2 linked regions of the Oryzias latipes genome follow. The protein of the gene in region 1 interacts with the protein of each later gene in a pairwise test. Links are inferred from orthologs where the notes say so. Each region holds a gene or a part of one and is shown in the gene's direction. Other genes may lie near its edges.

Region 1 (4,053 bases):
AGCTCTTGTCTGCCTGCCGTTGTTGCTGCGACACACTTTCCATACGCTGCAGCCTGCAACACAACAGCTTTGTATTAAGAAAAACAAATCTCACCAAAAAGAATAAAATTACACAAATATGGACGGTACAAAGTTTTCTTGAATTAGTTTTCCTGTAAATATTTTTTTGTTAAATACTGAAAATCTAACTTATTTGTGCAAACAAACTTTTACATGTCTCCAAGATTTATACTTTAATGCAAATGGAGTTGAACCTTTATAATTATATTTTTAAACGTAAAAATATGTTTTAACATCGAGAATTTTGTATAGAAATATAAAAAAATAATAGCATACCTCTAATGAGTGTCAGAATTTTAATTTTGTAGTTAGATGAACTGCTTTCCATCTATGAAACATGGTGGTGGTTGCATCATAATTTGAGTTCCTATTTACACCTGAACTTAAACAGATACTAAAGTATTTTTCAGTATCAAATAATTCCCAATGAATTAGGGGCTCAATAAATATTCTAAAAGAGGAGTGCATGAAATGACAATTTCACACATAAATGTTCACATTTGTAACCCCAGCTGTGGTAAAACAGCTGGAAAATGCAAAGTAGAGGTTTTTATAGTCAACAGGCCAGAATGATCAGCAGTTATCTCGCAAATCTTTAGTCTCAAATTGTGCAAAACAAAGCTAGAATCCAAGAAAACAGACAAAATAATGCCACTCTTCTACTGATGCGATATTTAGTCACCCAAAACAGTTTGTTTATTATTGCATATTTATGTACTGAATATTTTAACCAAAATAAGATTAAGATGAAAAATACTAATTTGAGAAGGCTCACCTCGTCGGCACACTTTGAAAAGATGTCGCTGAAATTTCTCATTTTCTCCCGGCTTCTGGTCCAAACATTTGAGCCCGACATGCTGCTATATGCATCTATGTCTTTAAACCTTAAAACACATATAGGCTTTTATTTGAGTATTAGATTAGGAATCTTAGAGCATGTTTACGAGGAAAAAATGTCATAAAAAAGGCTTAAAATTCGTGTAAACTACGGGTAGCGCCATTTTGATGACCCTGTCATTTAAAACCTTCCCTTTCTACATTTTTAGATATTATGATTGGCTTATATTGCTGTCAATCTAAAGTGGGTGACTCCCCTCGCAGTATCTGATTCGTTGTCATCCAGTTTAAGGCGTGCCAATATCCGCCAATGAACGTAGAGGAGGACTCAAAGTAATGAGGGTGATTGGCTGCCTGTCACCTTAGCCACGCCCTCCTTATAGTAGCTTCAGAAAGATGAGGAACCCGCGGCTACACCTGCTAAATCATGGCTACATTTTTGGAACGATTAGCTTTTATTCAAAAAGTAAGTAAAGTTCGGAAAAAATTTGCTTCTAGACAAAACTGTTGATTTTTTGGGAGCGCGTGGCGGACTCGACGTAGCTTGACGCCCCTGTTTGTAGCAGTTACCTAGCTAGCTAACTACTAGCTTGCTTGCTACTCTTTAGCATGGTGTTTATTTTAGGCTAGGGTCTCTAAATACCCATTAAAGTAGTAGATTATTTTCTACGATTTTAAAGCTGGAAGCATTATTTTAATAAATAAAAGTTGATAGTTTCTCATAATTATTGCAGGTTCCCACCTTAATGAAGGCAACAGCAGATGATGAAAACCCCTGTCCTGGTTACCTTTTTCAGGAGATTGGAAGTATCCTTTGTTGGTGGCCTAATCAAGGGGAAAAAATGTTTTCATTGTTTTTCGGATAAGCAAAACTTGTTCCATTTAATACACACACTGACTACTAAAGTATGCCCTTAACTGCCATTACACTTTAGAAATATCCCATGAGTCCTTGGGTTGTGGTCAGTGTTTGCTTGAATACCTCCTGGAGAGACTGCAAGTCGAGTCCTGCCACGTCAAACTTAAGGTGAGAACAACATCTGGGCATAGACTCATTTCTGCATTCATCTAACTGAGTGTAACCTCTGTTCTCCTCCTGGTTATTGAAGGTGCTAAAGATTTTTGTCCACCTTTGTGGTCATGGTTCAGATCATTTCCTTACAGAACTCAGAAGAAACTCCACCTTCATCCAGCAAGCATCAGGTATAAGAGATTGTACCACTGGAATATATCATAGGTATCACGTGATAATGGGGTTTTAAAGTTGAAAAATGTCCATTTATAAGTTTACAGTGGTCCTCCTGATCCCATCCATGGCTCAGCACTTTACCAGAAAGTAAGGAGTACGGCACAGGTACGAGACTGGGTGTATTCTTTTTACCTGGTTTATAAACTGAGTTGGAATTTACTTACTAGGTGTTAATTGTTTACATTTACAGGAAGTGGCTCAATTACTTTTCACAGATTCATTTAATACCAAAAGCAGCATGTCTTCACACACTATTGCCCCTCCAGGAATGGGTGAGTAGAATTTAGGTTTACCTGTGTTTTGACTTTTTATCTTCTTCTTCCACTTTCGGCTTCTCCCATCAGGGGTCGCCACAGCGAACTAGTCGCATGGTAAATTTGGCAATGTTTTACGCCGGATGCCCTTCCTGACGCAACCTTCTCAAACCGGGCTTGGGACCGGCACAGAGGTAGAGAAGGGAACAGGGAGCAGCCCGGAGTCGAACCCTGGTTTCACGGATGGAAGGCGCCGCAAACCAGCACGAGCTAAACCAGCTCCTGTTTTGACTTTTTATATCGGGGCAGAAAGTATTTGTCAGTCACTGATTCTGTAGGGTTTTTTTTATGTAAAAAGATAAGTTTGGTTATAATGTCCATCATAGACAAACTTTAACTGTAAGACAGAATGTAAAAAAATAAATAAAAATAACTCCACAAGCTCCCTGCTCCGCTCCCTTCTGATTCATCCTCTTGTAGACGACTAGATCCACGTATGTCTTCGTTTTTGTCATGGAGCTGGCGTCTGATTCAAACCTATATGGCTAGATAGCTACAAAAGTGCTCGACATTTTTATTGCACCAGTAATGTCCGGTTATGGCAACTCAACTCATTCCATTCTATTTTGTTCTTACGTATTTAATATTTCATTGTTTCTGTACATATTGTACATATTTTGATTAGAAATGTGAGTTACAGTATTTTTATTTTATTCTATTTTATCTCCACCACTCCCAGGCTGCTACAATTTCATTGTATCACCAATGACAATAAAGGATTCTGATTCCTTCTCTACTCAGCTGCATTTATGGCTGCTATGCAGGGTTATTATTATTCAAAATCAAAGCTTTAACTTGTGTTTTTGTTTATTTGGAATAGAAATGATCACTTTACATTGAAGATATTCTGTTCATGTAGATATTTCCCTCCAATAACTTCTTTATTTTCTCTGTCCAGGTATGGGATCAGCTCTGTCCCACAGGTCAGCACTGCAGGGTTTTGGATATAGTCCAGGGAAACAAGGAACAGGTGATATGTTGATCAATGCAGAGCAGGGCAAAAATATATATATTTTTTTCTTAACCCTTAAAAGGAGAGTTTTTGTCAATCTCCTCTGCAAAGAGGGCCGTCTGGGATTCTCATTTTCCTCTGAACCTCTGTTCTAACATCTGTGTCTCGCAGCAGCCAGCGAATCACTCCTGGATAAGATCCAAAAAGCTGCGGAGGTCGTGGCCAGCGCTGTCCTTCCCCCCACGGAACAACAGGGCCTCCGCCTCCACGATAACCATTACCGCGCCGTCTTTGCCCCATCTGCACCCATAGAAGTCGCCGTTCCAGCGTGCGCATACAACCACCCTGCAAGCAAAGCAAAAGGTCAGACATTTAAGGACGCCAGTTTGAGAAGAAACCTTTAGACGACAAATGGATGGTATCTCTCATATTTTTAAATTAAAATTTGTGGGGTTTTTTTATGCCTTTTTGTTTTACACATCAATAGTGTTACAATGGTGTCCGGGGCAGGTAGGCGGTGGCTGGGAGGAGACTGACAGCAGCAATGGCTCCTCCCACAACTCCTCTCAGGACATCAGTGCGGATAGCAGGGCGTCTCTGGGCAGCAAGTCAGCTGGAACAAGGAGCCAATCGGGAGCCAG
Region 2 (3,517 bases), on another chromosome or scaffold:
TGGGAATTACGTTTGACTGAATACTCAGATTAAAAATATGGGCGATGGGTTCAACAATAAAATCAGCTGCAAGTTTTAAGAAGTAGGGGTCTAAATCATCTGGACCAGGAGTTTGTTTTGGGTCAATAGCTTTCAGAGACTGTAACAACTCTGAATTGGAAATTGGTTGAATGACAAATTTGATTGCATGAAAAGATGCAGAAGACGCAGTAATAGAGGATCTGAATGACCAGACACTGGTGAAGATAAAAGAGGAACTAATGTTTGTTAAATTGTTTTGCAATTTCCTCTTTCTGTTGTATAGCAACAGAGTTCACTACAAGGTTTGCTGGTGTAGTTGATTTCACATTTTGTCCAGTTAACATTTTGGTTTGTTTCCAGAATTTATTGGGATTTTTAAGATTTGTTGAAATAGAATTTATGTAGAAATCAGATTTAGTTTTCCGAGTCAAAGAGGTGCATTTGTTTCTCAGGGCTCTGAAGGTGATCCAGTCAGAGTTTGAATTAGTAAATCTTGCTTTGGTCCAGGCAGCATTTCTTTCTCTGAACATGTGTAAAAGTTCTTTTGTGACCCATGGATTATCTCGCCCAGAAATCCGACATTTTTTGACAGGGGCATGTTTGTTACAGATTTTTAAAAAAGTCTCATGAAAATGTTGCCAGGCGCATTCTACATCTTGAATTAACTTAATGCGATGAATATCACAGTTGTAAAGATCATGAAAGAAAGCCTGAGGCTCTAATTTTTTTTACATTACATTACATTTTAATCTATGAATGTGTTTGTTCATGATAAAATTTGTTCCGTTAGAGATAAAATGTAACCAATTCTGAGGTGCAACATATTGAAATGTTGCTTTGGGGATGCGATATGGAATTGGACAGATCTGATATTTTTCTTCTTCATAGACTTTAGTTGAAGAATATTGTAAAACTGTTGGAGAAATTATACTCTCAGAGGCAAGATTCAATGAAATCTCTGTGGGTCCAAGGAGACATAAAATCCATAACGCATAACACATGAAAAACATTTTGAGCAAATACCTCCAGAAACAAGAGACAGGGAAATGAAGAAGCAGTCAAGACCAGGAGGAAAAATAGCCTAGTCCAGTTGTTACTGGAGAGCAGCTTTGGCCTGGTGGTAGCTGCAGAGCTGGTATGTCCTGGAGGCTGGAGAGCTGGTGCAGCCTGGTGGCTGGAAAGCCGGTGCGGCCTGGAGGCTCAAAAGCGCCACAGGAGCTCTTTAAAGTTGTGATTCCTTTGTGTGGCCGAAACGTTCGGCTGTCAAACTGGAACGGCCGGTGTTCCTGTTTCGAACGCCAGGGGGTGGAGGGAACCACTCAGTCCAGTTCTCATATTCAGTCAGTGAAGACCAAAGTGAAAGGAGTTACTGTAAACAAGATGGGGGTAACAGAGGTGTGGATGGACATGGATGTAGGGAGAGAGAGGGGTGGAGATGGTTAATACTGTGACAGTGAAAGTGTGCTGACCGAGTAAAATTATTGATGTATTCAAACACTTTCGAACCAGCCTCACCAGCTTATAGAGCGTATATAGAAATCCAAGTTTCTCTAAAATGAAGAGTTACAGCTCCCTTATAGATTTTAGAAACTTTTATGTTTATATCTGCAAACTCAGATACGGGTAATTAAAGTATAAAGTCTGCTTAAGTTTCACCTTTTCAGACCTCTGTTTCACTGTCAGCTCCATGAAAGCCAAAGTCTCTAACTTTTACACCGCAGAAAATAGATCTGAGTCTGACTTGGCTCAGCAACAAGAATTTGACTTTTGTTGATAATTTTAGAAAGGCGCACAAAGCATAAACACACTCACTCAGATAGACACATATGTTAAACAGTCTGCCTCACTGCTACTAAATATACTTCATGTTCTCTGTCCTTTTACTGTCATTTCCCTCATCTCTGTTTAGAGTTTAACTCACTTGTGGAGATAAATGTGGATTAGGGATTATGTGGTCTGTCAAAAATACTTTCCTGGAGATTATGAGGAAAAAGAACCATTCAGAAATTCGTTCAGATCCTCCTGAAGTGAGACCAAAGCACACATTGCCCACATTTCTCAGCACAGATGTACCTTCGAATGACATTTATGAGCATTAAGTCGGGTTCACATATTTGGAGTTTTGTCAGGACACAGGGCTGCACGGTGGTGTAGTGGTTTGCACTATTATAAAATGAGACATACCCTGGTTTGACTCCCAGCTGGGTTCTTTCTTTGTCAACTTAGCATGTTCTCTTCATGCATGCATGGGTTATCTCCGAGATTTCAGATCTCCTCCTATAGTCCAAAAACATGCTTCTTAAGTTAAGTGATCTGTCCATATTTTCTCTTAGAGACTAGTGACTCCGCCCACCTTAACAGCATTAAAAAAAAGTCAGTTTGATTGAACAAAGGGAAGATTGAAGCCCTGTTGGGTCAATCCACCTGCCAATCATCAAAGCACGATCATAATGCCCAGATTTTTAAATTTAACTTTTTCATTTAGGATCAGTTGATATTAGTTTCTCGTTTATAATTAGAAAAACTGTTACATTTTTTTGTTTGTTTTATCTCTTTAATGGTGTTTTTGTGTTCTCGTGTCCTTTCCTGTTCATTAAGAACATATGAAGAAATTGCATTTCTGAGTATTTTTTATTTCAAATAGTGAGAATCAGGAGCAGATAAAAAAAATTGAGTTTCAAAAAGAGTTTATTTGTGATCGGCAGGCAACAAGCTCCCTGCTCTGCTCCAATATAGCTCCAATATTTCTAACCATTTTTGTTGTACCGCTAATATTAGGTTGGGGGTGTGAGGGGCTGTAAGCTAACAGGAGAGGGTGTAAACAGATGGATGACGGGAAGTGGGGGCGGGCTTGCTCCACACCAACCACTGGGAACGCTTTGAAAAAAGGAGTGGGACTTTAAAACTTCAAAGGAAATGATGATGATGATCAAGCTCTGCCAGCATTGTGTTGCTTCTAGAAACCTAAATGTTCCTTTTACTGTCCGTATCTGTCTCCAGGGCAGGCAGGCCTTGTTGTGGCTTCTGGGTGTGTACGGAGATGGGGTTTCCAGCGCCCCCTACACTTTAGAAGCATTCATTGACGGAGTGAGGAGTGAAGTCTCTTTGGGAGTAAAGATGGAGCTTCTGACGGCCACCATGAGGCTGTTTCTGACCCGGCCTGCAGAGACCCAAGACATGCTAGGAAGACTGCTGCACTATTGTATAGGTGTGTGTAAGTGTACAAAAAAAGAGAAGGAGATACAAATGTAGATGGTTGTTAAAGCATTTCTTTATCTCAGAGGAGGAGACGGACATGTGTGTGAGAGACCTGGGGCTTCTCTACTACCACCTGCTGAAATGCGGGGTAGAAGAAACACGGAATGTCCTCCAGGGCAGGAGGTCGGACCCTTCTTTGGGCGTTCTGATTGGTCGCCCAGCGGAGCCCATCAGCCAGTGGGCGTGTAGCTTCAACACCCTGGAGCCGCTGAAGAAGGGTGGCACCGTGACACAAACA

The links. The genes of interacting proteins can lie anywhere in the genome.
Region 2: the proteins of tepsin (region 1) and ap4b1 interact in binary tests that used the Homo sapiens proteins (3 or more experiments, as listed by UniProt). The link is inferred for Oryzias latipes from reciprocal best matches to the Homo sapiens genes TEPSIN and AP4B1.

What each region holds. Positions count from the first base shown.
Region 1 is NC_019877.2:3,984,039-3,988,091, forward strand, and holds the start of tepsin (AP-4 complex accessory subunit tepsin), read left to right. Parts: upstream 1-1,240; 5' UTR 1,241-1,324; coding exon 1,325-1,363; intron 1,364-1,631; coding exon 1,632-1,704; intron 1,705-1,832; coding exon 1,833-1,924; intron 1,925-2,006; coding exon 2,007-2,100; intron 2,101-2,183; coding exon 2,184-2,251; intron 2,252-2,336; coding exon 2,337-2,418; intron 2,419-3,358; coding exon 3,359-3,430; intron 3,431-3,583; coding exon 3,584-3,775; intron 3,776-3,899; coding exon 3,900-4,053. Other genes in the region: ndufaf8 (NADH dehydrogenase [ubiquinone] 1 alpha subcomplex assembly factor 8), read right to left, coding at 1-53, 836-916. UniProt on the Homo sapiens protein: Associates with the adapter-like complex 4 (AP-4) and may therefore play a role in vesicular trafficking of proteins at the trans-Golgi network.
Region 2 is NC_019865.2:4,816,793-4,820,309, reverse strand, and holds part of ap4b1 (AP-4 complex subunit beta-1), read left to right. Parts: intron 1-3,021; coding exon 3,022-3,229; intron 3,230-3,302; coding exon 3,303-3,517.